3 linked regions of the Arabidopsis thaliana genome follow. The protein of the gene in region 2 interacts with the protein of the main gene of each other region in a pairwise test. Each region holds a gene or a part of one and is shown on either strand. Other genes may lie near its edges.

What was found.
Region 1: the proteins of AT3G51470 (region 2) and FLC interact in a two-hybrid assay, tested with the Arabidopsis thaliana proteins (one large-scale study listed by BioGRID).
Region 3: the proteins of AT3G51470 (region 2) and URO interact in a two-hybrid assay, tested with the Arabidopsis thaliana proteins (one large-scale study listed by BioGRID).

Annotation. Positions count from the first base shown.
Region 1 is NC_003076.8:3,170,487-3,183,621, forward strand, and holds FLC (K-box region and MADS-box transcription factor family protein), read right to left. Parts: upstream 8,963-13,135; 5' UTR 8,854-8,962; coding exon 8,669-8,853; exon of another isoform or gene 8,598-8,668; intron 8,563-8,597; exon of another isoform or gene 8,499-8,562; intron 8,411-8,498; exon of another isoform or gene 8,398-8,410; intron 5,176-8,397; coding exon 5,118-5,175; intron 4,940-5,117; coding exon 4,878-4,939; intron 4,788-4,877; coding exon 4,688-4,787; intron 4,610-4,687; coding exon 4,568-4,609; intron 4,374-4,567; coding exon 4,332-4,373; intron 3,622-4,331; coding exon of another isoform or gene 3,550-3,621; intron 3,512-3,549; exon of another isoform or gene 3,406-3,511; coding exon of another isoform or gene 3,391-3,405; exon of another isoform or gene 3,340-3,390; coding exon 3,238-3,339; 3' UTR 2,896-3,237; downstream 1-2,895. Other genes in the region: AT5G10120 (Ethylene insensitive 3 family protein), read left to right, coding at 1-661; AT5G10130 (Pollen Ole e 1 allergen and extensin family protein), read right to left, coding at 1,065-1,402, 1,786-1,942; AT5G10150 (UPSTREAM OF FLC protein (DUF966)), read right to left, coding at 11,690-11,807, 11,884-12,607, 12,709-12,809, 12,890-12,959, 13,117-13,135. UniProt on the Arabidopsis thaliana protein: Putative transcription factor that seems to play a central role in the regulation of flowering time in the late-flowering phenotype by interacting with 'FRIGIDA', the autonomous and the vernalization flowering pathways.
Region 2 is NC_003074.8:19,095,395-19,104,801, forward strand, and holds AT3G51470 (Protein phosphatase 2C family protein), read right to left. Parts: upstream 3,882-9,407; 5' UTR 3,851-3,881; coding exon 3,704-3,850; exon of another isoform or gene 3,555-3,703; coding exon of another isoform or gene 3,540-3,554; coding exon 3,363-3,539; intron 3,292-3,362; coding exon 2,530-3,291; 3' UTR 2,328-2,529; downstream 1-2,327. Other genes in the region: RHD4 (Phosphoinositide phosphatase family protein), read left to right, coding at 111-181, 267-365, 463-562, 645-753, 846-918, 1,042-1,135, 1,278-1,370, 1,464-1,530 and 1 more; GLR3.6 (glutamate receptor 3.6), read left to right, coding at 5,862-6,120, 6,404-7,719, 7,818-8,095, 8,187-8,218, 8,308-8,714, 8,868-9,287.
Region 3 is NC_003074.8:8,245,914-8,254,697, reverse strand, and holds URO (C2H2 and C2HC zinc fingers superfamily protein), read right to left. Parts: upstream 4,180-8,784; 5' UTR 4,120-4,179; coding exon 3,601-4,119; 3' UTR 3,215-3,600; downstream 1-3,214. Other genes in the region: AT3G23145 (ATP binding / aminoacyl-tRNA ligase/ nucleotide binding protein), read right to left, coding at 1,502-1,566, 1,682-1,745, 1,872-2,057, 2,241-2,339, 2,498-2,560.

The sequences.
Region 1 (13,135 bases), on a different chromosome or scaffold from region 2:
TTTGCAAGATAAAATGATGGCTAAAGAGACTGATACTTGGTCTCGTGTCTTAAACCAAGAAGAAGCTCTTCTCAATATCAAAGACCTCAAGATCTCGGAAGATCAGGACGATCAAGAATCGTCGGGGTCTAAGAGAAAAAGTGAGTCTATGGAACCGTCTAAGAGTGTTTACACTTGCCAAAACTCGAGTTGTCCTAAAAGTGATGTGAGTTTTGGATTCGGGGACAAGAACTCGAGGACGGGTCATGAGATCCAGTGTCTTTATGGGTCGAACCAAGAACCGAGCCAGAGCGGTGAATATACATCTTCCTTGCTTGAAACGGTTCCAAGTATTGTTACTAATTCGACTAGTGAAGATGATTATTACAATGTGAGCTCGCGTGCACTGGACAAGCGAGATGATGATGATCATAGCATTAATGGGAATTGGATGGAATATTTCTGGTTAGAAAAGATGCAGCAGGAGTTTCATTGCTCTAGGAGATTCGAAGATGATGAGGGTACTGGAACGGACTTTGACCAACTCACAGAATCTGATCGATCGGACAACGTGAATTTGAACCAACTTACAAAATCTGATCGATCGGACAACGTGAACCGGAGTGCTTTTTCAGTTTGGGACATGGGTTGCGAGGACAAAGACATATACATGTTCGATTAATAGTTAAGCTCGTTAATTAGTTGCTATGCTTTACATGTACCCAAAGTCAGAACATTTCTGTCTGTACTTCTCTAGTTACTATACAACACAATAAAATAACTTTTAGATCTCGTAATAATAAGATAACTAAAATATAAAATATTGAAGAACTATCGTAATTATACGCAGCATATCAAATGATGATCCTACATAAGTAACAGAACATACAACAAATTCCTCTTTCTTGCCAAGGACATGAGATTTTTTTTTTTGAAGGTTGCAAATACTTTATTTTATATGGTTTATCTTAGATATGTCTAAATAGTCTCACCATCTTTAGAGACTCAACAATACAATAAAATAGAAATAAATAAAAACTCTAAATAAACTTTTGTGTTCTGTTTCATCAAGAACATAAGATGACTCAAATAGCCCGGTTATCGCCGTCTGCGAGGTAGCGTTTGCGGAGAGCGGCGCAGCCACGGAGCGGTTCGTCCCTGAAGAAACCCATGGCGTTGGCGTAGTGACGAGTAGAGGCGGCTCCGTTGGAGCGCGTGAGGATCACGGTAGCGGTGCTTCTGCCAGGATCAGCCTCTTGGCAGCGGGACAGTGGACTGTGAACAAGCTCCGCCAGACATTGCTGGTCCTGTCGGTCTCCTCTGACGGCGACTTTGTATTTCCCATCAGGTCCCGTCACCGCCACCCCAACCAACTCCGATTTTAGTGTCACTCTGTCTTTGCATACTATTCTCACTCTTGCCCCTGTTTTTCATATAACCCTCAAAATTATTTCAGTCTTAAAATTGCTGCTTTTGTTTTCGCATGCATTTTTTTTTTTTGATAAATAATTACATTTCTAAATATAGACTTTTGGATTTCCTTAATTAAATAATTTGTAAAATGAAAAATAAAACAATAACAAATTATTTTGAACTCAAACAAACAATTGAAGATTTAGAGGTAAAGTTGATTTAATTGAAAATTTACCTAATGGGTGATTTTTTATTTACTTGTGAAGATAAAATTTGCAAGTACTGTATACTATTATGCTATTTACATGTAACCAATCAGATCCAATGAATTACAATGGTACAATGTGAAATATATATATGAGAATACTAACTAGGTAAAGTGTAAATACGGACCGCGGATATATTGGGTGGCGATTGTCTCGAATCCAAAGCGGCAAGTGTCGCAGTAAACACTTCCTTCAATGTGGAATGGCGTTCCAACCGCCATGGCTGCAAGTGGGAGAACCAAAACGCATAACACAGCGATGAGAGGTACAAATGATTTAGCCATTTGGAGATTGTTATTAGTGAAAGGGTTTTGTGTATTATGTGAAAACTGAAACTATGTATTATATAAGTAGGAAATTGAAGGGTCAGGTGTAAGTGTATCGCATCTTGTGCAAATTAAAAGCTTCCTTAGTGTCGGCTGGATCCACTTGCGGCTGCTCCTCCGCCGTACTCGGCGAGAAAGTTTGTGTTGCCTTCTACACAAGTCAACTCGTATGGTACTTGTTATTTCTAGTCTACGTCTCCATCGGACTTTACAATTTTATTTCGAATGCTTTATTCGGCATTTGACTTTATGTTGGTAATTAAATTGTAATTCTACTACTATATTTAACAAACCTTTCACTTTTAAATTATACAATGAATAATATTATAATTTTGTATATCAAAATTTTGTGGATTAACTAGAATGTGAAATAGAGTGATGAAATTGCTGGTTAGCTTCGGTCCGACCAGAACGTGCTTATGTTTCCTCGTTACGTAAGAGTGCATTTTAACACTGACGATTCTCTATTTATCATCTTGTAGGCTGAATCAGAGTATATAGACTATGATTTAATTTAAATCAGAAATGTTAAAAGGTGATTAATGACAATGGCGTCTGGAACTGTTGATCTAAATTAATATAAATACGAGCGTAACTTTTTCTATTCTATATGTGAATTATATTTATACATATAATGTCTAAAAGTATTATCATTTTAGTGGGAAAAAAAGAAGTGTTATCATTATATAAATGTGGATTAGTTTAAGGGATCCTTCATGGATGACGGAACTACGGAAGTGAATTTAGTCCAAAGAAAATATGGAAGAGGTCGGTCACGTTAACAGCAATGACTTTAAGAACTAAGCTTATTGGGCCGAATGTGACCGACATAGGCCCAAAAAACCCATGCCAACCATACGCGTTTAGGATAAAAACAAATTAATTACGACGAGAGAAAAAACGCGCAGAGAGAGAGAGAGAGCCACGTCCCTGTTGCAAAATAAGCCGTAGGCTTCTTCACTGTGAAGCAAACACAAGTTTTTGACAGAAGTGAAGAACACATACACTCAAGATCTCGATGCAATTCTCACACGAATAAGGTACAAAGTTCATCAACCTTTTGTCTTAAAACAGATAGTATTGACTTAGTTCCGTCTACTTAAGTATCACACACAAAGTCTCTTGGCCAAAGAGAGAGTATTAAGATATACAAACGCTCGCCCTTATCAGCGGAATAATTACATATCTTATTTTTTTTTTCTTCATAATTATATATGTTTTGGATTTTGATTTCAACCGCCGATTTAAGGTGGCTAATTAAGTAGTGGGAGAGTCACCGGAAGATTGTCGGAGATTTGTCCAGCAGGTGACATCTCCATCTCAGCTTCTGCTCCCACATGATGATTATTCTCCATCTGTACGATAATCATAGGTCAAAATCACTATTCACTTTCTCTTTTTGTCTTCTATCCAAGGAATATCTTTTTCACACCACCAAATAACAACCATTAAAAAACACTACAGAAGGTTATGTTTCTCATAATTTGTGTGTTCTTTATGTTTAAGCTTTTAAGTTTGGAAGCAGTATCTATAATCTTTTACCAGTTTATAATTTATAATCTAACCTATATATAGCATGTAAAAGTAGCACTACTTCTAGACACTTGGAGTTGGAACTGAGCCACTCGGATCCAAACCTAACCATAACAAAAAAAACAAAAAAAAAAAAACTAATCGGTCCATAAACTTTTTTTTTTGGTTAAAAGGTGATTAACTTAAATATAGACAACGTTTACACAACCTTCAAGGAAACCAATATTGAACTAAACTAGACTGAACCAGACCATAACCTGAAAGAGAATCAAGAAATCTTATTGAATCTCTACCAAACCCAGACTTAACCAGACTATAAAAGGTTCATAAATCTCCAAATGAACCAAAACCTAATTAAACACTTTAACATGAAAAAAACGAAGAAGAAGAACCAAAACCTAGTTATGTCCAACAACCGGAATTTTTTTTTCTTAATTTAGTAAAATGATATAGCAATCATGTAATTTATACTCGATAAAAAATAAAAAAATAACTTCATCTGATTTCCCTTAACTCTAACCAGCCGTTATCAAAATTCTGTTCTTATTCAGTAATAATCTCACTAACCCTAATAAACCAAACTACCAACAACCAAAATGCCCTAATCTTGAGAAGAATTGTCTAGAATACAACTATACAAGACAGGAAAGTGCTAACTAGTGAATGATTGAAATGCACTGACTATATATATATATATATATATCTGCAAGCATAAGAGTGTGTATCTATGTCCATGTACATGGACATTGGACACACAACACGCAGTGCTTATTAGTTATGCATATATATTTTTAGGAAATGTAGCTTTCGTTACCTGGCTAGCCAAAACCTGGTTCTCTTCTTTCAGCATTTTCTCCTGATTTAAAGATCAAAATGTTCAGCAATTACCGATCAAGTTTCTAAACCTAACAACTTCAGAATTTGGAATCCAAAACATATGAAGAAAGTTGCAAATATGTGTGCAAGCTCGTTAAGCAGACTTAAAGTAACAGAGACAACACAGAAGAGGATATATCTGATGTACAATAAAATTGGTAGCAAATATCTGACCTTTTCTTTAAGATTCTCAACAAGCTTCAACATGAGTTCGGTCTGCAACAAACAAAAGCAGCACGGTTGTTCTCAGCAAACAAAATTCAGAAAGGAGTAGACATTACGAAATCAACTTACCTTCTTGGCTCTAGTCACGGAGAGGGCAGTCTCAAGGTGTTCCTCCAGTTGAACAAGAGCATCGATACTCACATTTTTGACATTTGATCCCACAAGCTTGCTGCATATATTCATAGTTTGACAAAAAAAAAACTAATTCCTTTGTAATCAAAGGTGGAGAGCAAATATAGTCTTAGTTAGTAGTACTAACCTATCCACAAGTTCAAGTAGCTCATAGTGTGAACCATAGTTCAGAGCTTTTGACTGATGATCCTGCCCATGAAAAAGGGACAGAAGAAGCGGTAAAAGACAAGGGCTATGAAAATTGCGGTATGCATAATGCATGTGGAGCCACCACCTCATTTTATATTTAGGATCACTCGGCAAACTAATAGTAAATTTACGCCTTATAAAACTCCATCAGGGAAAAGATTCAAAATGTTTGTATTACCAAGGCTTTAAGATCATCAGCATGCTGTTTCCCATATCGATCAAGGATCTTGACCAGGCTGGAGAGATGACAAAAAAAATAAAAATATGTTAGGATCAAAACTACTAGCTAACCCTTGAAAAGGCCACTGGAAACTATGAAACATTGAGAGAACACCTTACCTTTTACATATATATAACACGCTAGTATTCGTAACATTTCAGAAAAACAATAATCTTAATATTCATGTTTAAGCAGTAGCACATCTGAATTTCCACTTTTTCAAAAAAGTTTTAACTTGTTCTTAGCTTTGTAAGCAATATTTAATAATATCTGATATTTTTTTTCTCTCTCAAGAAAAGAAAAGAACCAAAACATTTACCAAAAATTGCTCAAAGATTAGTTATCCAATGAATTATGTGGGCTAACATGTATTTATTATATATTTCGGCAGATTGAAAATGACATTTTCCCTCAAAGAAAAGTCATACAAAGGCATACAGATAAAGTTTAGTGATAGCGCTGGCTTTGATTAACTTAAAGTCAAACTAGTTAAGGTACATAAGAACCCTAAACATAAGCCTCTACTGTCCAGATTGTTTCTATGCATTTATGTTTGTGAATCTATGTTGAAATAATTGATGCAATATAAAATGTAAACGCAGCCCCAATCTTAAATGCAAACAAGCAATTTTTATTTTTCCAGAAATCATATATACTCATGAATGTATATACACACATATATTGATGAGCCACAATGTGATGACATGGAAGTAAACCGAAGTAAAATTCCAAGTACACAGACTGAGTCTAGAAAGTCATATTTCTCTTAATTTTCTGAAATTAACTGAAAGACTTCCCTAACAATAGCAAATAGTGGAAGACTGCTTCCAATTCATTTGCAAATTAACTTATATAATTCTAATTGCAACCTCTATCAGAGATTCAGAGCTTCCATTTTGGTTTTGATCCATACCACAACTTTTAGCATCAAAAAACACCTATATCCTTTACAAAGCGTGTTATCAAAACCATTATAAGAACAAAACCTATTTACCCTCTATTTTCTATCATGTTTACCCTTATAACATTTGATCAGGACTACGAACAATGGTATCAAATTATTAGTTACCTCTTTTCTTTTTGTATCCCAGTTTTAAAAAGAATTTTTTAAAAACGCCTCTTTCATGAGTTCATTAGTAATCTCGTGTCAAAATTGGTAACATCAGCTCTTTGTTTGTAAGTAATACCATATCAACATATACGAGAAAACTTTTCGGATTTTTCAATGAACCTTGAGGACAAGGTTTTTTCCAGCGATAGAGCTAGTATTGATGACCCATAAGATGATAATGATGATGTGGCGGTAACCAGATAACCATAAGTATGAGGAAGCCAAACTCCAAATACATGGACCGAGTCTTAGACAAAACTCATATTTCTATTGTATATGTTTTTTTTGCAAATATCAAAAGACTCCTAAGAATAGGAAGCCGGTCTTCCATTTTGTTATTTCACATTCAATTACTTACTCGTTTATAGAAACTGTGAGGTTCCAATTTCCTATATTTAAACCCCAAATTAATCAAGCAATAAAAGTAAAGAGTTTTCTGCCCTTGAAGTTACACTAACTAATATTAGTAGGAAACTTATCACACATATCTATAAATATATCTTCCATAGAAGGAAGCGACTAAGACAGATAAAAACTAAACTACATATTGACCTAGAAGATCCAACAATTTTGACAAAACTTCACTTAATTTGTTTTGTTAATAGATATCAGTCCTATTGTGAAGTTAAGCTCTTTGCATCAACCTAAGTATGCAAAAAGAGTAACTGAGTAACTAAGGGTTCCACGTTCTAAAAGGCTTCTTCTTTATTAAATCATAATTAAGACCAGGAGTTCTAGTCAGGTGTCTCGACAATTCCAAGGCTGGACCTAACTAGGGGTGAACAAATCCTAACAAAGTATGCATCAAGTGAGAATCGGCCAGCGATCTTGACCAACATGGCCAAACTACTACAACCATTTGGTTATTATATTGGAGGGTTGTAGTAGACACTACACCAGATTCAATTTTGACAACTTATATATAGGATTATATTGATTCATTATAGATCCGTACCAAAGAGGTTGGTATTTCTTACATGAAGACAAGTGTTGTGGGATTTTCAATTTCCTAGAGGCACCAAAGAAACAAGGCTGTGTGAATGACAATTTCCATGACAAAAGACACAAGATACAAAGGTTGTGTGACAAAAGACACAAGATACAAAGGTTGTGTGATTGTCGATTTTCACAACAAAAGATTGAGGTTGTGGATTGTCAATTTTAACGAATAGGAACAAAGTCATAAATGAACACAACGATGATAAGATTAAGGGCGATAATTGATATACAATCACATAAATATGAGGCAAATCTATGTGTGTAACTGCAAGAGTGGGAAACTATAAACCTTTGGACAATCTTTAAATAGCATATCCCATAAAAAGGAGAGAAATTCGTTAAAAATATTATGTATATATTACCAATTCATCTTTTAGTCATAGTTTCCCAATTAATGTGGCTTACATTTAAAACCAAACTTCTTGATCCTTTTTACCATTAACCTCATACTAATTTTATTTATAAATCTCCCGGACGTGCATATACAAATCCAAGAGAACAATGAAATTTAATTAGTCTAAAATTAGACCAGTTTATGTACAGCAAAAGGTGTTATATATATAGCACACGACGATTGTGATTCAAAGAATCGCAATCGATAACCAGATTATGTTACTGAAGTAGCATATGTGCGGTAAGTACTAATTGTGAGGCTGAGTTTTTTGAAGCTACCAAAATTCAAAACTACTGTGTATGAAAAATATGAATCAATTAAAAACACTAATTTGGATAATCACCAAGTAATAGGTCCACAGCAAAGATAGGAATTCATAGAAGATTAACAATAGTCTTATATAGTCAATAGCTGCACAATGTGGTATATATACATTGTTCAGCATTAACCCCATAGCAACTCTATAGATCTCCCGTAAGTGCATTGCATACAAATCCGAGAGATCCAATGAATTTTAATCACTCTGAAAAGAGACATTAATCATTAGTCTTGTGATATATAATTAACTCTTCAAAAACTTAAGGAATCTCTAAAGGTAAGAAACAATCAAAGATGGCTTGAAACTTCACTCAACAACATCGAGCACGCATCAGATCGTATCAAACAAATCGTGAATGACATGCAATTTTTTTCCAAGGAAATAATGAAATCCATGCAGAATTTTTTTTTTTAAGAAATAGAGAGAGAAATGAACAAAAGTAAGAAGCTAAAAAGCTTCTTCACGACATTGTTCTTCCTTAAATTTGGTTATCTCATGTATCTATCATGGTCGCAGAAAAAAACACAAACAAACACAGAACCGAGAAACAACAAGAGATCCGCCGGAAAAAAACCAAACGGTATATTAATTGTTTTTTTATTTTTATTTTCTCAGAAAAGTAAAAGAGCACAAAACAGAAGATAAAAGGGGGAACAAATGAAAACCCAGGTAAGGAAAAGGCGTACTTATCGCCGGAGGAGAAGCTGTAGAGCTTGCCGGAGGCGGAGACGACGAGAAGAGCGACGGATGCGTCACAGAGAACAGAAAGCTGACGAGCTTTCTCGATGAGACCGTTGCGACGTTTGGAGAAGGTGACTTGTCGGCTACTTTTGTTCTCAATTCGCTTGATTTCTAGTTTTTTTCTTCCCATGGCTTCTCTCCGAGAGGGCTTTGTGCCCTAATTTGATCCTCAGGTTTGGGTTCAAGTCGCCGGAGATACTAAGCGTTTTCTCTTTCTATTTTTTTTTTTCCTTTTCTCGCTTTATTTCTTTCTATTTTTTGTGCCTATCTACTTTTTCTTCGTCGGGCCAGATATTTTTTTTTTTTTGGGGGTAAACGAGAGTGATGCAAAAAAACCAAATATGTGAATAAAAACGTTGTGTTTTGAAGACAAGATTGCCACGTGTACCGCATGACGAGCGTCTTTGCTACTTTTGCATTGCCTTAGTTTTCACTTTCGTTGCTAAATGAAAACTATCTTTCCTCCCCTACGATACGGATTGAACTATTGCAGAAAGAACCTCCACTCTACATCATCTTTGAACTATGTAGACATATCGAAACCTAAAACTGGTTTGAACTCTTCCGACTTCTCAAAACTTAAAATTTGGCAGTTAATTAGTAGGTGTTACCAAAGTCGTGCCTACATAGTAAAAACAAAGAACCACTCGCCTACGTCATCAAATTTTATAAAAAAAAATGTGTTTTTCAGATAGTATTGAAATAATAATGTTCGGGAGATTAACACAAATAATAAAGGAAAGTAGTAAATATATTGTGGAAATATATAAGATTTCTAAAATACAAGAAATCTTAAATGTCCACACATATGGCAATAGCTCAAAGTTACTAATTCTTTTTTGCTTGTATCAGCTTGTTTTTTTTTTGGTGAAATGCTTGTATCAGCTTGTTTTCCTTTTATATCTCATTAATTATTTTTTACCAATTTCTTCTTTATCTAATTTTATTATTATATATTTTTACATGATTAGATACCACATTCTGAATATCACTATCATTATATTAATTTTATTAATTACTAAAACTATATTTTGTTTTGCTAATAATTATATAGATTATACCGTTTGAATGGTAACACAATAAACGATACTAATACAAATTACTATATGTAATAGATTACATATGATTAATCTAATTACTATAATTTTTCTTGTTTTGTAATATTTTGTTAAAAAATGTTATATTAGACACTTGAAAGGTGAGGCTATATCGAGTAACAAGACGAAAAGAAGTGGGTGAAACTGATTACAAATTTTGTAACGATATTGGTGATTGGTATTAACTTTTTTAATGGAGCCACACAAACATTTCACTAACACTCGGAGTGGGTGAAACTGATTACTGATTTTGTAACGATATTGATGATTCATGATTGGTATTAACTTTTCTATTGGAGCCACACAAACATTTCAGTAACACTCGGAGCTGTGCCAAGAAGTTTTGATGCTATAAGCAAAAAATATAATTTAATATTGAAATCATATATAATCAACAAAATTTTAATAACTTATATTAATGTTAAAATTTTTGATGAGAACAAGCTCTAGTTCATTGTATAATGCACCTTTTTATTAATTTGGCAAGACACGAGTTAAGACTTTACATAAACAAACACACATAAGGAAGTCAGTCATTTGTTCTTTGATCTTTATTCTAAATTTAACCCAAATCTTTGGCTACCATCGTATCTAGACCATTACATATCTAATGTTTTGAACTAAGGTTATTTTACTCAACTCGCATACAATTTCATTGGACCAAACCAAACCTACAAAGACTTTCAATTGGATTGTATTTACCACAAAAGTGTACTTATAAGCATTAGGTTGTTCCCTCCAAACCAATTTGAGTTTATTTTTAACATTGCCGCATTGTAGCTACATGTCTACACTGTTGGTGTATAGTATTCACATAATTTGCATTCCTTTGCTCGTTTCTTACTCGCTATCAGGGGCGGACTCACGTTAGTCATGGGTAGGGCATGTGCCCTATACTGAATTCAATAAATATTATATAAGTTAACATTTTGTAGTTAAAATGTAAGTAGTACAGTGGCTTTTTACTTAATAGTGCCCCACATCAATCCAAGTTCAAGCCTTACTATTATCATTTTATTGTTTTTTTTTTAACTGTGCTCCATATGAAATTATTTCTTGGATCCGCCACTGCTCGCTATTGCATATGCAAATTTTATTTCTTGCAAATCAGATCAATAGTTAAACAAAAGTAAAGAACATTATATTTATATATATATATATATATATATTACCACAAAAATTGAGTACTGACCAAATGATTTTCATGGACTTTCAAACGATGGGAAAATGTTTGATAACCCTATGGAACGTTCCCTAGACCATGATTTGTCAATATAAAAAAACTTTCTTTTGGTATGGTGTCAATATAAAAACTTTACTATTAATTGTGTGGCAGATAATAAAAATATCGAATTTTTATTTTAAAAAAAACTTAATGCGAAAAGTACTTCGAATCGATTGGGTGAATGTACGGCATGATTTATATCCAATCATCCCACCACCTCCTTGCCCTTTTCTGGATATGTCAATTATCATTTCTTCAAGGCAAAAAAAAAAAAAAAAACACTTTTCTTCAAGGCATCTCTATGTTTTCAAGTTTTAATTTATATACAGTATCAATGTTTAATTCTGATATCATATTTTCAAGATTTTAACTTTCAGAAACGACAAAGATATTATCACTCTAGTGGATTCCCATAAGATTAGATTGAATTTACGATTTTGCAACACGAATACGGATTTTGCCATTTCCATTCTCTTTAAACAACTAGTCAGATAAAGTGGAGCAAATATATTCCCCATAATAAAAAAACAACATGTAGTCGTTAAAATTCATTATCATTTACTGCATCTATCTGTAGCAGTAAATACTAATAAAATACTAGTCCATAATCATTCGTTTACTCTATAGTATTAAACTCTCTTTTTTTATTTCTTGATTTGCTTCGATGATGACATTAAACACGTTCTTGGTATGCATTTCACCTTCGCCATCGATCTTTCTTCTTTCTTCTTCGTTTCCTTAGCCATCTCAACAATCTTTGATCTGTTCAAATATTTAAGGATTTAGTGTGAATTTTTGTAACCATACTTGTCGATTAGAGCTGACTCGGTGTACTAACCTTTCCTCGTTGAACGAGTTGGATCGTCTTAGCGATGGTTCAGCCGTGACTCGTTCCTGACTCACCGACTCAACGATGCTTCCGCTGAAATACTCTTTCTCCTCCGCCTGAGGATTCCCGAACCTTGGATTCTCCGACATGAACCTTATCATCTCACGCTCGTCATCTACGACAGTCTTCTTGACAATGTTCTTGCACAAAACTCCTTTTCGAAGGTTCTCTTCTTTTTGTCTCGGATTCATCACACTCGGTGCGTAGTACTTGGTGGCGATGTGACCGCAAGAGATCATCTGCAGCCACATCGACCCACGACCCGATCCGGGTTCCACCGGATCTCCGTCCTCGACCCGCGTCGAAACTTCGTGTCGACGTGGCTTCACCACCGGGTTGGAACGAGTCAAATCGGACGAGTCAGAACGTACTTGCAAATCTTGCTCTGTCTTGGTCAAGTTCGGTTTTTGTTCGGTGGATTCCATTGTCTCCGTCGATACGCCTCGAGAACAGCGAGATTGAGGCGTCGTGGAAGATGTGTAACTCGTTTTCTCTTCGTAAAGCTCGTACTCTCCATCTTCTTCCTCTTCCTCTTCTCCGACGTAGAGCTCTGCGTCGTCAAACGACGCCGTTCGGTTTTGAGGCTTGAGTTTTGACCTGAGAAGTCGACTTTTTGGAGCTTCTTGAATAGAACCAGACAATGGTCTGTTCACATGTACTTCTTGAAATTTGTCTACAAAAATGTTTAGCAAACAAGAACATAAAATTTTAAACTCAAATTCTGCAAAATCACAAATTTCAATTTGTATGAGTTTCCGATTTTTAACAGCTTACCGGTGATTTCAGATCCTTTCAAGACATATTCAGCACAGTCAGAAGGGTAAATCACATCATTCTCTGCTAAGTCATTCCACACAAATCCATTTCTATAGCTCCTGATGAATATATCAAAATACAATGTTTAACATTTGCGCTTTTGATTACAGATTTTGCTTCATTTTAAAAGCGTTGTTACCTTTTACACGACCAAGCATATTGTGATGTCATGCACTTCCCTCTCAGAATCGTAAGCCGGTTCATCACATCTTCATTAGAACAAACACACTCTTAAGTTGATGTATACGAAACAAAAATCGAAAGTTTAGCATAAATTGAGATCAAAACACTAAACAGAGCAAGACCCATGGACTATATATAAATAGCGTATAGTGATCTCCCTCTTTCTGTTGTTCGGTCTTTTACCTCTTAACCGGAGAGGCTG
Region 2 (9,407 bases):
TGTGACTCAAGATGTTGTACAGGTCATGTTTGTGAGCTCACCTTGGTCTTTAAATTAATTGCATTGCATAAATCTACTCCAACTTTTTATTCCTTAATTTCTCTAATCAGCAAGGCGGTGAGGGGCGCTTATGCGAGAAGTATGCTACTGTTATGCAACACATTACTGGGGATGATATAAGGTAGTCAATCTGTTCGTCTAATGTGTTTCTTAGACAACTTGCTTATTGTTTTGCAACTCATTAAAGGAGGTTCCTTATCCTGTAGGTACCTGCACTTTGATTTCCATCAAATTTGTGGGCATATTCATTTTGAGCGCTTATCAATTCTGTACGAGCAGATCGAGGGTTTTCTCGAAAAGAATGGGTATGATTCTTTGTACATTTCTATTTATGTAATCTTGAAATCTGAATAATTATAAATAAAAAATGGCACGTCATTTTGCATTCTCTGAAATACGCAGGTACTTTCTGTTGAATGAAAAGGGTGAGAAAATGAAGGAGCAGCTTGGTGTTGTCCGATCAAACTGCATAGATTGCTTAGACCGTACAAATGTTACCCAGGTTAGCCATAAGAAAACTATGATGCAGCTAATATCATATTGGCCTTTGCTCATCCATGCTGCATACTTCCTGCCAAATGCAGAGCATGATAGGTCGAAAGATGTTAGAAGTTCAACTCAAAAGGATTGGAGTTTTTGGCGCTGAAGAAACCATAAGCTCACATCTGAATTTTGACGAACACTATAAAATATGTCAGTCTCTTACCTTTGTAGGAAATCTATTGTAGAACTTAGATGTAAAATTCCGAATTTATTCATGTTGCTTATGTGCTTTCGCCTTTCAGTATGGGCTAATCATGGTGATGAAATCAGCATTCAGTACTCTGGTACTCCTGCACTTAAAGGAGATTTCGTTAGGTACTTTTGCCATATGTTTAATCTTGGGTCTGAATAAGTCCTGGCTATAAAGCAATATAAGGGAGTGTTTTGTAGATTACTCTACATTGCAATCTAATGCGTCTCTAACCGGCTCAATTGTAGGTATGGGCATCGGACTGCCCATGGTGTCCTTAAAGATGGTTGGAGCTCCCTCAGACGCTATTACCTGAATAACTTTGCTGATGGAACTAAGCAGGTCAGTGAATTTTCATTCTCAGTAACTCTAGTTGTATCATCTAATAATGTTCAGTTGCAACTGTGTGCGACTACTTTTGGTGTCACTTACCCCTGTAACTGGAATGTGTCCTGACGCAAGTTAATATGGCTATGTGCAATAGGATGCAATTGATCTCTTGCAAGGGCACTACATAGTTGCTGTGAGCCGAGACATGGCTCCTGTACCTCAAAAGGGAGGCCTTGAGGCTGTAGCCGTAAGCATTTATCAATTAAGATTAGAACTAATTTCCACTATATTAGCATACAAAGAATTCTAGTCTTATAACAATGTAAATTTCATGTCTCAGAACTTCCCAGTGGCATTGTTCGTGGTTCTGATGAGTTTCTGGTTTGCAACAATGTCTCTAAAACAAAGTAAGTATGGTATTTCTTTTGCTGGATAGTTAAGATTTTCTTTCAAACTTAATCTGAAACTGTGTAAAATTTGCTGAGCAGCTGGGAGTGATTATAAGCATAAGCACTTGTTCTTCTCATTGTTGTGGACGGGAATTTGCGTGGGCATGGCTGCACTGGTGAGGGCCAATGGCAGGATCTTCTGTAACCGACCTCGTCTGCACAAGCCCAGAGGCTGATTCATTTCGTGAGATCAATTAATTAAAGACATGGAACTCAAGTCGGAGACAAAAGTTTTCTCCCTTCGATTGTTTTATTTTATTGTATCAAAATTGGACCTTGTGACACCATCTAGAGGCAATTGTCTCAGGTTTGGATCCCTCATGATTTAATACTCCCACAGCCATCAAATGACTCGATACAGTTACACATCTTTCTTCATGTTCATTCTATGATTACTCGGTCCGACAAATGGCTTTCTAAATCCCTACTTCTTGTTGAGTGATTCCATTGTAGAATTCATCATGAGGCATGATAGACCAATGGCAGACAAAGGAAGTGCATGTTCTAGGTTGTTTAGCCATAACCTATGCGCATCTTTGTTATTCAGGCTCAGTCCCTAGATGGTCAATCGTTATATTAGTGTTAGGATCCATTATTTTGTGGCAGATGCACATCTACCCTCTGTTAAATCTTTTCTACGGTTGTTTCTGAGAGATTGTGCTCCATTGTTGCTTGATCATTTTTTGGATATTTGGTAAGGATTCAAACAAACCAAAAAGAGGCCTCACAAGTTCAAGAAGCAGTTCAATGAGGCATTTTTAAATTATGAAACCAAATATTAATCATTTAAATATGGTTAAGATCTACAGTACAAAAAATGGAATCAATCAAAACTTGGAAAAACCAGAGAAAAAAGCACACAACCTTGAATATCTCTCTGACTTTCCTATCAAAAGAGGAAACAAAAAAAGAATAAAGTAACTCTTCTTACCTTTTTCCAACTTGCTCTCAGTTCCTTCACAACTCGTTCAAAACACCTTTGAGGAGATCCAATCCCTCTGCAGAGATGCTCCTCCTCTTATGCGACTTGGGAATCTCAATCCGAGGAGGCGCTTCGGGCGAGAAACAGACAACCACTACAGTAAGATTGTCACAGCTGTTTCGTTGAAGAGCCTCCTTAACCAAAGCTTGAGAGCATCTCTCAGGATCATTATGCTGCATCAGCTCCCTCCTCACCATCGTCACTGCACACTGGCTACTCATCACATCCCAGAGTCCATCACAGCCCATTATAAGATACTCATCCTCTTCCGTCAGCACAATCTCTTCCAGCTCAGGCTCGCAGCTGAGCGGGCAGAGTGAACCTTTAGTTCCCTTAATGTGCCAATCTCCTAAGGCTCGAGCCACAGATAGCTGCCCGTTAAGGTAACCATCGTAGATCACACCTCCAAGCTTCTCAATACGTAGCCGCTCGGAAGTACAGTTAGGTTTGTGGTCCTTTGATAACTCAATGGCTCTGCCTCGTTTCCCAAGCACCGCTCTGGAGTCACCAGCGTTTGCAATCAACATAGTCTTGTCCAAAATGAGAGCAGTGAGTGCAGTAGTGCCAGAGGATCTATCAAGAGAAGAAGCATCAGCCAAAGCATGATCAGTCTTCACAAAAGCACTCCTTGTTGCCTTCTTTGTGCTGGTTGGGAAATGTTTGTCTTCCATTACAAGCTTCATAATGTTCTTTTTTGTGAATGATGCAGCATCAACACCTCCGTGTCCATCAAACACCTTCATAAACAAACAATCATTTTAAAAAAGAGAACTTTTTTGAAATATTCGATGAAGCAAATCTTATATACCCCATAGAAAGCTCCAGTGGATGATCCAATATACTCAGTGAGATCATCAACACAAATGAATTCATCTTCCATTGATTGTTTTGGTCCTTTATCAGACCAACTTCCAGATCTAAACACAGGCTGGAATGTTGAATTTACTCCTTCCGGAGATTTTGCACCAAATCTCTCATCTCCTTCCTGCAAACAAATCATTTTCACATTGTAAGTTTCAAACTTTGGATTGTTTTTGAGTCACGAGATCCGATCTAAGCTACATTATCTTATCTGTTCGTGACCGTGCAATTACAATCACAAGCATTTGAATTTAAAAAAAAAAAAAAGCAAAGAAGAGATGAACCAACGTAATCGGTCAACCAGGCAGTGCTGTTGCAATGGCGCATTGCAGAGATGTTTCTTGGAGGTTTCCCAGAGGAACTGAGATTCGTCATTTTGTCATCTGCGACTTCCAATGTGTTGATCATCGGAGAAACTTCAGTCACCGGTGCCATTTCCAGATTCCGATCAAAAGCTTTCTTTTTTTGTCAGAGTCATCTCTTTTAAATTATAAAAATAGCTTCTTTCTTCTTCTTCCTCCTTATTTTACTCACCAATCAGCTCTCTGGATGCCACGTGTGCTTCCAATCTCCATATTTTTTTTTTAGTTTGAATATAAAAGAGAATTAAATCTTTTATTAGTTTCCCATTAGCGAAAGATGAAGATTGTGTCTGGGTTTTACTCTCAAGCAAACCCATTTCTTTTTGGTGGTGTCGTCGGAGTCTTTGTATCATTTTACTTAGAGAACCCTAATGGTACATTTTTTCATTTCTGCTCCGATTTTTGTTGGTTTGTTTGTTGCTATCTACTTTACAGAAAATGACAACATTTTTGTGAATTTCGGTCTCTATAGTGCTACAATTAGCCATTAAACAATTGCAAAAGCTCGCATTTGTAGGGGTATTAGATAGCAAAAAAAGTGTTGACTTGAGATGTTTGTTTATGCGCACTAACTCGATTGTGTAAAAGCTGAGTTTTTTTTCAAGTATCTATCATCTGAGTGGTCTTTTTGGTATTTGAAGGAGCTTCTGATTTTGATGTGGAAGTAATCATATGAGATTGATAGTAAGTTGGGGAGATATGAATTGATGGTTCCACTGAGACACAAGGATATGAGTGAGTGAGAGTTGAATCTGTGAACGAGTTATGGACTGTATGCTTATGACACTGTATGGCTGCTTGCTTACGCCATTGATGATTTTGAGAGCATCTTACAGGTTGACAGAATCGGCTTAACCGCTAGGATAAAGTTTACTAGAGACAGGAACCTTGTAAATCCAGCTTTTGATTTGCTTAATGTCATTGGCACTGGTTACAGGACCATTGGTTACTGGTATAATAATTTAGGCTTGTCTGTGACGCCGACTGACGAGCTGGAGAACACATCCTTTTCGGGACAGAAGCTTCATAGTGTTGTCTGGCCATGACAGAATTTGAACAATGGAAGGCATTTGAGGAGTGGAGTTCCAAATCGTTCCGAAGAGGTTGTCTCAGTCAAAAGCAACGGGATGATCTCTGGCTTCTGTGTTGATGTTTTCATTGCTGCTCTCAACTTATTACCTTATGCAGTCCCGTTTGAGCTTTTAGCTTTTGGGAGTGGTCATGACAATCCAAGCAACTCTGAGCTAGTGCGCTTGATAAGGACTGGGGTGAGTACATAAGCACTCTTTTAGAACTTGTTTTGATGATCCCTCTGTTAGCATAACTCAATAATAAGTATACCTCTTTGTTGATCAAAACTCTGTTTGTAAAATAGTAAATCATTTCGATTAATGAATATTTAAAGTTTAATATTTTATTAGTTTCTCTTCTTCTTTTTGTCACTTTCATCTTCCTCAGTCCTCACGCTTGTACATATTATACAGTAGACAAAAGCTTGAACGAAATATGAAGGTTGTGTCTGGCTTTTTGATCAACCTTTGAATCAATTTCCAAAACCCTTAAGGTATACACTTTTTTTTATCTCGGTCTCTATGGAAAAGCTTTGATTTTGTGAATCTGGGTTTCTTTCTTTCTACATTTAGCCAATTATCACTTTTTAGGGTATAGAAAGCCAAAAAAGGTGTTCACTTGAGAGTTTCTTTTTGCGCACTAACTTGATTGCGTGAAAGCTGAGATTTTTCATCTGAGTGGTATGTTTAGTATTTGAAGGAGCTTCTCACTGTGATGTGGAAGTAATCATATGAGATTAGAAGTGGGTTGGGGGAAATATGAAGGATTTGAGTGAGTGAGAGTTGAATCTGTGAGTACCATTACATAAAGAAGATCTCCACTTTACACCTACTATAATGGGCACTCAATTACTTCCTCCACCATTGCCTCATGCTTAGTGAGAGAAAGTGACAGGTCAAGCATCTTTCTTCCCTCAAACATTCTATATCTGCTCGTAATGGTGGCTAAATTCAGTGACTTGACCTTCCTCTCTTTTTTACTTTGTGAAACAGGAATCTCCTGAAATTGAGAAGATGAAGTGGTTTCTGCTTATGCTCATCATCTGCAATGCTGTTCCTTTACAAGGACTCACCAAAATTGTCTCTGCGAGACCCCAAGTTGTGAACATCGGTTCGGTTTTCACATTTAATTCTCTCATTGGTAAAGTCATCAAAGTTGCTATGGATGCTGCTGTTGAAGACGTCAATGCTAGCCCCAGCATTCTTAACACCACTACACTTAGGATCATCATGCATGACACCAAATACAATGGATTCATGAGCATCATGGAACGTAAGTGAGACAACTCTGTGATTATTGGATGATTATTATGTGTTTGTCTGTCGAGGTTCAATCATTTCCTTTTTATGTTTTGCTCACGGATTATTCGAAAGGTCTCTACTCCTCTGGTCTTCTTTACCTTTGAATCAACTTTTTATGCTCGCTGATTCATTTTCATGTCTTGGATTGTTCTGCTATCTACTTTAGGTTATGATACTGCAACATGCAAGTATACTCATGTCCATATTCTGGTATCCGGTTAACTGACTGATTGTTTTATGTATCATATTAAAAGCTCTGCAGTTCATGGAATCTGAGACAGTGGCCATAATTGGCCCTCAGAGATCTACGACCGCCCGTGTAGTAGCTCATGTTGCAACAGAACTAAAAATTCCTATACTATCCTTCTCTGCCACAGACCCTACTATGTCTCCTCTGCAGTTCCCTTTCTTCATCAGAACTTCACAAAATGATCTCTTTCAGATGGCCGCCATAGCAGATATTGTTCAATTCTATGGTTGGAGAGAGGTGGTAGCAATATACGGCGATGATGATTATGGCCGAAATGGGGTAGCTGCCTTGGGAGACAGGTTATCAGAGAAGCGCTGCAGAATCTCATACAAAGCAGCTTTGCCCCCCGCACCTACCAGAGAGAATATCACCGATTTGCTGATTAAGGTAGCTTTGAGTGAGTCAAGGATTATCGTCGTTCACGCTTCTTTCATCTGGGGCCTAGAGTTGTTCAATGTGGCTCGGAATCTTGGTATGATGAGCACTGGTTATGTGTGGATTGCTACCAACTGGCTTTCTACAATTATAGACACAGACTCTCCTCTCCCATTGGACACCATAAATAACATTCAAGGGGTCATTACACTGCGCCTGCACACTCCCAACTCTATCATGAAGCAGAACTTCGTTCAAAGGTGGCATAACTTAACTCATGTTGGACTTAGCACTTATGCACTGTATGCTTATGACACTGTCTGGCTGCTTGCTCAGGCGATTGATGATTTCTTCAAAAAAGGTGGAAACGTTTCCTTTTCGAAGAATCCGATTATATCTGAGCTTGGGGGTGGAAACTTGCACCTTGATGCTCTGAAAGTCTTTGATGGAGGAAAGATATTTCTTGAGAGCATCTTACAGGTTGATAGAATTGGCTTAACCGGTAGGATGAAGTTTACTAGTGACAGAAACCTTGTAAATCCAGCATTTGATGTGCTTAATGTCATTGGCACTGGTTACACGACTATTGGTTACTGGTTTAATCATTCAGGCTTGTCTGTGATGCCGGCTGACGAGATGGAGAACACATCTTTTTCGGGACAGAAGCTTCATAGTGTTGTCTGGCCAGGACATTCAATAAAAATACCACGTGGCTGGGTGTTCTCGAACAATGGAAGGCATTTGAGGATTGGAGTTCCAAATCGTTACAGGTTCGAAGAGGTAGTCTCAGTTAAAAGCAATGGGATGATCACTGGCTTCTGTGTGGATGTCTTCATTGCCGCTATTAACTTATTACCTTACGCAGTCCCATTTGAGCTTGTAGCTTTTGGGAATGGTCATGACAACCCAAGTAACTCTGAGCTTGTGCGCTTGATAACGACTGGGGTGAGTACATAAGCACTCTTTTAGAACCTGTTCTGTTGATGGCTCTGTTGGTGGGTGTGTATTTGACATATTTTGTGGCTCAAAAATCTTTTTCACAGGTCTATGATGCAGGTGTTGGTGATATCACCATCATAACAGAGAGAACCAAAATGGCAGATTTTACTCAGCCGTATGTGGAGTCAGGGCTAGTGGTGGTGGCTCCTGTTCGGAAGTTGGGCTCCAGTGCTATGGCGTTCTTGAGGCCGTTCACACCCCAGATGTGGCTTATTGCAGCTGCGTCTTTCCTCATAGTCGGTGCTGTCATTTGGTGTCTTGAGCACAAACACAATGACGAGTTTCGAGGCCCTCCTCGTAGACAAGTGATCACTACTTTCTGGTGAAAACATAATAAGCTCCAACTGGATGAACGTAATTCCAAACACTACAATTTTTTCTCTGAAATATGTCGTTGTTTACTTGTCTTGCAGGTTTAGCTTTTCAACTCTTTTCTTCTCTCATAGTAAGTGTACTGCCCACACCCCCTATTCTATCTTAAGTTGTTTTCCATTTTTAAATTGGTTTCCAATTTTCTCTGCTGAATTTATACAGGAGAGACTACCACCAGCAACCTAGGAAGAATAGTGCTGATAATATGGCTATTCGTAGTTCTCATAATTAACTCTAGTTATACCGCAAGCCTCACGTCAATCCTCACAGTTCATCAGCTGTCTTCACCAATTAAAGGCATAGAAACTTTGCAAACAAACCATGATCCTATTGGGTATCCACAAGGCTCCTTTGTCAGAGACTATCTGATCCACGAACTCAATATCCATGTGTCAAGACTTGTCCCTCTCCGGTCTCCAGAGGAATATGATAAGGCCTTGAGAGATGGTCCTGGGAAAGGTGGTGTTGCGGCTGTTGTTGATGAACGTGCTTACATAGAGCTTTTCCTCTCAAACAGATGTGAGTTCGGCATAGTTGGTCAAGAGTTCACGAAAAACGGATGGGGATTTGTGAGTATTGTTCTGAATATAAACAACTCCCTACTTGTTTGATGATAGATAATTAAGGAAGAAACATCAGGAAGTTCTTCCATGCATAACTTTTTAGAATTTGATAATGCGATAGTGATTTATGATATGTATTTTTTCTCTCCCACTGTTCAGGCATTTCCGCGTAACTCGCCATTGGCTGTGGACGTCTCCGCTGCAATTTTGCAGCTATCAGAAAATGGAGATATGCAGAGAATTCGGGACAAATGGTTGCTTAGAAAAGCTTGCTCTCTGCAAGGCGCAGAGATAGAAGTGGATAGGCTGGAGCTTAAGAGCTTTTGGGGATTATTTGTGGTGTGTGGAGTGGCATGTGTTCTTGCTCTTGCAGTGTATACAGTGTTGATGATACGTCAGTTTGGACAGCAATGCCCTGAAGAAGCAGAAGGGTCGATCAGGAGAAGAAGCTCACCATCCGCGCGTATCCACTCCTTTCTCTCCTTTGTAAAAGAGAAAGAAGAAGACGCCAAGGCTAGGTCCTCTAGGGAAAGGCAGCTTGAAGATATCTCTGCAAATGGTTCAAGTCGCTGCAACTAAAGTATTTCCAGCAAATTAGTTGCACCAAAGAGACCTCATAATGGCTCTAGTATGTACATATCCCTCTTTGTTGTTACACTGTTTGTATTTAATCTCCTGGTGATTTGACTTGTACAACAA
Region 3 (8,784 bases), about 11 Mb from region 2:
CCGCCGATGGAGGATAAAAAGAGAAGTGTATGTATAGGGTGTAAGTAAAGGTAGGAGCCGTTGGTTTTAGAGGAAGGTTTTGAGATTTTTTCTTCTTCTTTATTCTCTGATTTAGAAACTTAAAGAGGTCCCACTTGTTCTTACATGAACCGAACTTAGACGGTCTTTTGAATTTTTTCTGAGTTGTGTTTTTTTTCTTACACTTAATAATTTTTTGGTCACTAATGTATTAATAAATCATTTAATATTGAAAACATTTGTTATTTCCTCAACTTGTACGTTTTATAAATTTAACTTATTACAAGCTGTAACATAGAATAATTAATGGGTACTCTGAATTTTATCAAAATCCCGTATATCATGAGACTGAAGAATAGAATAAAGCTTGTTTATTTGTATATGAATGAGTAAAATATTGGTATAATTGTTGGAAACTATCAAGCCACATGACATGAATCTAGGAACCTAAAAATTATTTTAATAAATGTGTTTTATTCCAAGAAAGTATAAAATTAAGACCAAGGAGGCAAATAGATCATATATTTCTTAAATTAGCTTTGTTTATAAACAAAAGAGCACAAAATCTAACGTAATCACTGTGTTTTGAACTGACACAAGTAGTCGGATATTTGATGAGATTAGTCTAATACTCTAATTAGATATTTTAATTAGTCAAATATTTACAAAAAGAAGATATGTATAACGCCTTAAGATGTTGATTAATATGAGGGACCTACAAAACTGTGATCTTTGATTTTATTATAATGTTTCCTTCACCATACATGAATCTAAAGAGTAATGAGTATATATTTGAAACCACATTGCTATTACTTTCCTAACTTTTAATTGTATGGTTTTGACTCTAGAAGAAACCATGTTAGACCACAGAATGTCAGAATCGCATGTGTTCTTTTATATTGAAGCTCTAATTAGTATCTACCAATCATCTTTGAAAAACATCATTGTTTAAAGCCTTTGTACATATTTATTTTATTTATTGATAGTACTATCTAAAGAAATTGAACCTAGAAGTTTTTAGACGACACGTTACCTAAGTTTTTTTTGTTGGTGTTTTTAGTGGTCACTGTAACAACAGAGAGTTTTAGCATCACTACCTATAACCATAATCTTGATGCTTCAAACGGAGTCATACAATTACAGAACAAAAAAAAATACATTGAAACTCTTGAGCATATTTTGTGAAGCTAGTTCGGATAATTTTGAATTTCCACAAGTAACAAAGTTTCTTGTTGTTTTTGTAATAAATCCCATCTTTATCTATAGAATGAGTACAAAGTCTCAAGAGACATTTAACTTTTTGCAACGATCTAGAAGAAAACACTTTAAAAGGCTCTCATGCGTTCTTCTTGCTTAACAATTAGTCACCGACTGTCAAATGCAAATGTTCTCCTAGAACCACAGTCATAACAGGGTGCTTTTCAATGCATGAGCACAATGAGAAGGAAACCCATATATCAAATATACAACTTATATATGACCATTAATCGCTTCGGTTACATTTATTTACCTCACGGGCAACACCTTCGTTTTTCAAAGATTCATCTTCTCGTAGATCAAGAATTACCATAACATCATATCTGAACCATGAACGAATGCAAATATTATATGTTTCCTCAACAATAGAGCATAGAGAAGTGGTATTTTTAATTAAGATATGTACTATCTACAGCTGCATCAATCTCTGTATCTTTCAAACCATCTGGACGTTTGAAATCTCTGACAATCTAAACAACACATGAACAAAATGTGTCATGAACATGGGTTCTTGAAGATACTGTAAACTTAAACAAGAAAGAAAATAAACTTAATGTTAAAGGTGGTGATATAAGGAAGATGTTGTCAAATCTAACCTTCTTAATTATCTCGTTCTCAAGACAAACACGATAGTCATCTGCACCAAAGACAGGAGCACAATGGACAATACCAGTACCACTATCATTCATGACATAATCATCTGCTACTAGTCGAAAAGTCACACTTGAGAAATCGCTAAAAGTAATCAAACAAAGGTTCATACTTCTTCCCAACCAAGGAATCTCCATTAAAATTTTCCAAAACTTGATAAGAATCCTCTTCACTGTCAAGCTTAATTAGCACCTTTCGCATTATGGTATCACTAGTAAGTTCCATTAGTTAAGCCGGCCTTAGGCTTATCACTAGGAAGCGATGACAACCGAGATTCAGCAACAATGTAGACTTTTCCAGTGTTGTTGACGAACCTTAAGATAGACAAACTTTGCATTGACACACAAAGCAAGATTACTTGGAAGAATCCATGGAGTAGTAGTCCATGCCACAAGAGCCGTATTATCTTGGATCTCCGATAACAGGGAATGTAACCATTACTAAATATGCAACACAATATGCAACAATAAATATGCAAAAAAAATATATATATTTAACACAAAAAAAAAAAAAAAAATGCAACAACAGAATGTTATAATCTTCATTAGCAACAAGGCCAACAACAACATACCTTATAGTTCTGACCAGCTTCAAAATTAGATAGTGGTGTTTTACAACCAGTACTATAAGGCATAACCTTGAAGCATCTATAGACAAGATTCTTATAAAAAAATCAGCCTACTACACCCAATTAAAATCTTTAATTTGAGTTATATATTTTAACACCGTCATTTCAATTTTTCCATGATTTTTAAGCCCAGCAAATCATAATCTGGCTCTTGAAATTTACGAACCCAAAAATCAAACCTCCAAATGATATTGGGCCTTTTAACTGGTCATACTTTGATCGCTACTTCTACTTCTAAACTTCAACTTTCAGTTCATAAAACCCAGATTTGACTTTCATTTACTCTCCTTTATTTTTTATGCATGTAATATACTATCACATTTTTATAATCATAATTTGTTTTACAACATCAAGGCTATGATTGATTCATATGAGCTCACATGGGTCTGCAAAAATGTAGTTTCTAAATTTGGAAGGCTTTTCAAATGGTGTAAATTATAAACTTCACCAACCTATTATTAAAACGCATATAATGTTTATCCCATTGCAGTTCGAATTCATTCATAATATAAGTTTAAACTTACTTTATAATGTAAATTCATACAAACCCACTTGAAATGTAAATTCATGTAAAATATTATACAAGAGAATGATAGATAGTCTTTGATTATACAAACCCAAATTTCATACAACGTAACTAATTATTAGAACATATTACGCAAAACTACTTGATCTATAGATCTACACTAATATATAGTTATGGAAAAGAACAATAATCCTGTACTATACAAACCCAACTTCAGACAACAAGAACATTTTTTTTTCTTTTTGAAAAAGGTATAACAAAAACATTACTCAAATTAACCTATTTGATCTATAATTTTTAAGTGAAAAATATAGTCTTGAATTATACAAACCCAAACTTCATACGATCATGATAAAAACATGACTCCAAGTCCAACATATTTTGATCATACTACATATATATTGAAAACATATATAAACACCACAATAAACATCATGCACTATACGGTGATTAACTTTCAACTATATATATATATTGTATATGGTTACGTGGATCGAACGTGAGGGAAACCGCTGCAAGCTTAATGATGACGATGACCGCCGAGTCGAAGATCAAGATCAAGATCACCATCTTGAGGTTGAGAACCTCCGGTCTCTGGTGGGCTCCGGTGAGTGTCATCATCTTCATTCATGGATCCGAGCCCTAAGCTCAAATTAAGATCATGAGACGCCCCTTGAGCAAATCTCCCTCCTCCTCTTGATGATGATGATGATCCAAAGTATTGTGTGTTGTGGCTAGGGTTAATAGGTGGCTGAGACCCTTGGTGTAGGTATGACTCAATGGTCGGAAAATAAGGAGGAGGGTTTGTGAAGTTTGTGGAGGAGGAGGGAGACTGAGATGGTAACGGAAGAGAAAATGGAAATGAGTGAGAAGAAGAAGAGGAGGAGGGGTATCTTTCGCGTTCCCTGCGGTGGATGTTATTGTGACCACCGAGGGCTTGAGGATTCGTGAAACCTCTCTTGCAGATGTCGCAGTCATAAGTCCGGCGGTTTTCTCCAGAGCCAGAGCCGGAATCAATTTGTTTGTCCCGGTGGTTCATCTCTCTCTTCTTCTTCTGTTGGGATCTCTCTCAAGTCTCAGTATTCAATGTTTTGAAAATGAGTGTATGAAGCTTCTTAAAAACACACACCAGCGTATATATAAGCTAAAGGAAAGATTATGTGTGTGAACGGACACTAATTAGGGCTAAATTGTTTTATCAATGGTTAATATATATACTTTAGGGTCTTTAATGTACTTAATTACGGGGGTGTGTATTATAATTAAATTCGTGCGTCTAATGTAACATGAATTAATAACTACAAAAACGTCATGCTTAGAATTATTTTAATTAGTTTATTTTCTAACAATTTTCAGGGAAAGTTTAACAAAGGATAATATAATAGATAAAGTTGAAAAATATTCTTCATAGGAAAACAAACTACAGAAGGTGTTATTTATAAGGTTTCGAGTGACTAGTTAGGGTAGCTAGTTTCTCTCTATTCAATTTCATTTTTGTTCAAGAAAAATATAAAGTTGTTCATCTTTGAATATAGTACAAAAAAGTACTTATTTGTTTGGATCGAGAGTAAAAATTGCAAAGTAAAATTGTAAAAATTGGAAGGCTAGTAGGAGCTAGTGAAATATTAAAGCTTAGTTAAATTTAATCTAATATAGTGTGAAATATATTTTGAATGTGAACATGTAATACCTACAAAATAATAAAACCAAATTTTTTAAAAGAAGCATTCACTAAGGAGTTGTGGACTTGTGGTTGTGCTTAAAGTAGGTAAAACAATTAAGAATATACAAATTGCTCTCATTAATTAAATAGCATTTATGAAATTTATTATGAGTTCTCCCCAAAACTGAAATTGATTTCGATGGTTTCTATACTTAGAAAAATATGCTTTAACAAAAACAAAATAAAACTTAGAAAAAAATACGATCGATGAGCGATCGCCTGCTACTCTTAGGATTGCTAAAATTAATATTTTACTGTATTCAATTTCAGAACCGACAAAATAATATTCACCTCCATAAACTTACTTCGTTCACACCGGTACCCTTTAACTTCTATGGACCGATTGAAACCGCGTTTTATAAGTTCGGTTTTAGCTATTGCCATATCGTTTTTTAGGATATAATAGAACGTTTAACGAATCACGATGGATCAAAACTCTCTATATATGCAATGGAAAATAATTATAGCCTCAAGAAAAATGATATTATGGAAGTTGAATAGATTTGTTATTATGTAGGCTGACTTCCTTTTGGCGTAGTCTCTTTTTAGTGAGATCATGCAGATAATATATAGTAAAACAAGTATACCATTATGTTTTATGGATTTAGATAAAGAACTATTGTCATTCGTTTTCTATAAGCTGATCAGGAGCATTAATGTTTTATAGGATTTCGAGAACATGTGAGAATCCTACTGACTTAAGAATATTCACTAGTGAATTTATAACAGACGAAAAAGAACTTTGGGACTACAGCTCATCGTAGACTTTAGCCTCCTAAAGCTACATTTATTTCTTTCATCAATAACATTTGTTTCATAAAACCCGCACGAACAAATATTCTAAATTGGCATGTGGATAAGAAACAAACTCGGTCAAGGTAAGGTCTATATAATTAAGCTTGATAAAAGAATCATACGGAAAAAATATCCACCAACAGTTTCAATATTTATATGTGTGTTTGGACTTGCGGGTGATATACAACATTAATAGTAATAAACTGAAAGAATAGTGTATGCATATATAGAAATGCTCTATGTAGTGTTGGAGACACTACAAAAAAAAGGTTGTTTTACATCATTTATTATAAATATTTGCATTAGTTAAAAGTGATGTAAAAGAATTTTGTATCATTTAAATAAGTGACTTAAATATTGTTGATGCAAATAATTTGCATCGGTTAATTAGTAACCGATGTAAATAATCAAAATAATTACATCGATTATTGTAATTGATATCAATATTGTATCAGTTACTAAAAATGATGTAATGTTTACATCAATTTATTTAAGTGATGTTAGTATTTGTTTCGGTTTAAATAATTGATTTAAATAATATATATATAATTATTAATATAATGTTATTAATATTTTGAATAATTATTTTATTTATTTCTTTTTTTAAAAAATAACAGATCATTGTGGATAATTACTCGTTGGAATATCTACTAAAATTTTATCAAGATTTTATAAAATATTTTACATGAACAATAAATCTTTATATAAGATAAGCAAAAAAATAATCATAATTTGGTTTTGGTTTCTTCATGTTTAAACACATCTTTCTTCTGTTCCATGCTTCTTCCTTCCATTAACTGTTGGTTCTTCTTGAAAAATACCAGTTCTTCTTCTATGCCATCTCTCTTCCATTTACAGAATCAAAATCATACTTTGGTTATAACTTATATCCCTTGAATCCTCATCACACTTGAGTTTCTGCTGTACAAAATAAAAAAGAGATTAATTGTTTGAAAATTTATAGAATTGTTTTGGTCGGAATAAGAATAACCATTTGTAAGTATTTTTAAAAGAAAGTGATAGAGTACCTTTACTTTGTGTTTCTCCAAACTGTGTAGGAAAACAAACAGTCCTAATGATCAATGGCAGATTTCTGAAAATAAAAGAAAAGAAAAAAACTGAGCAATGGTTAAGAAAAAGAGAAAGATAGAATGATAGAAAAATAAGAAAGTACTTGTCGTTGAAGATGAAGAATTGAATGAGAGTTATGAGATTTCAAAAACTAATTTGAAGATATTCTAAAAACGTTTTTGGATACAAAACTGTAAGAAAAGATCGTGAGCGTGAAAGCAGGATTTATAGTGAAGGAAACAAATATATTTAGTTAGCTGATTTTGAGGGAAAATATAGAAATTAATAATAAATTATTAACCCAATATGATTATTTATTTATGGTAATAACAATTTCTCGTCATCTACAATAAATTCAAGTTAGTTTTTTGTTTAAATTAAAATACAGAAAAACTTATTAGCATCACTTCTTATTGATGTATAATTTTATATCATTTTTATAAACTGATGTTAATAAAATTAAGTGAATACATCGGTTATTTAATTGGTGTAAATACAGATTTTTGTATCAATTTGTTAAAATGATGCAAACTAATACAAATTTCTATCAATTTGATTGAAGTGACGCTAAACATGTTAATTTATACATCACTTATTATAATTGATGTTTAATTATTTATTTTGTGTCATTTGCTTATAAGTAATTTAAACTTGTACCATTTATACTTGTGATACTATTTAATTGATGTAATTAAGCTTGATAAAAGAATCATACGGAAAAAATATCCACCAACAGTTTCAATATTTATATGTGTGTTTGGACTTGCGGGTGATATACAACATTAATAGTAATAAACTGAAAGAATAGTGTATGCATATATAGAAATGCTCTATGTAGTGTTGGAGATAATGATAATCTTCAAAATTAAAGAAGTCACATGCAATCGAAACAGTAAGAAATACTAACAAATTCATGAATGCATATAAATGTCTCTGGCTATACCTATTTTCGTCCATTTTCACACTTACACATTCAATGATATGTATTCTGTTTGCTTGTAATTTAACTAAAAGTCTCGGTAGGAATAATTGGGCATGGGACTTGGTTTCTCTTCTTTCTGTAAATAAATGTAGAAGTTCGTGTTGACAAAAATAAAATAAAAAAATGTAGAAGTTATAATTAAATGAATTGTTTCCTAAAGTCAAAAAAATGAAATAAATGAATTGTTCCTAAAGTGGCTATGCGAAAAGAGTATAGCTGGGCTTCGAAGCCCAATTTAAAGCCCAAACTAAATATAGTGATGGCCAGAGAAAACTAGAGTGAATACATAAGTCTAATGATAATGTGGTGATATATTGTTAAGTAAAACCATTAAACTACAAACACTGGTCCACGTAATCTGATTTCAGAAAATAATTCTAAAAATTTAACGAACATCAATAATGAAAATTTAACCCAAATCAACACTGAAATATTTAATAGTTCCAAAGTGGACAATTTTGTTTTGCGAAATTTATTAATCAAATTTTTGTTCCTGCTGTGAGCGGAAAAAGTGCTAATGAGAATGAAAAAAAAATGAAAAGGGAAGAAATGGATTTTTTATATATAGAAGAATGTGAATATATCTGAAACCAAAAATCAAAAAAGTTTTGATTGGAAGTGGAAGACCTAACTGCCCATTCATCGACTAAAAATGAGAGAAAGAGAACCAAATTGTGTGTGACAAGTTGTAGCTCTTCATTTAGTCATTTTTCAACATTCTGATGCTGAAAAAATATAAATTATATTATACGATTTGTATAACGAATTTAGCATATAAGCACATTAAATATTTGAGTAATTGTAATAATACCCTGGCATCAATTAGTATATCTATGATTGTTCACATAATTAAGAAATAGTGCTTGATGACCAAATAAAATGTGATATTTGCCTAACTTGTTACTTAATTTGTTCATCAACTTGTTATCTAATACTTCATATGAAAGTATCACTTTTATTTTTAATACTACGTACGTTCTGGTATTATTAATACCAATATGTGCCCATGTCTATCTCCACTTTCACAAAAATAACAACAAAGATGAGCTTCTCCTTTGCCTATTTGTCTTTACAATTTTCTATGTGTTTTCATTGTCTTATGACGTCATCATATCAAAGTCATTCAATGTGAT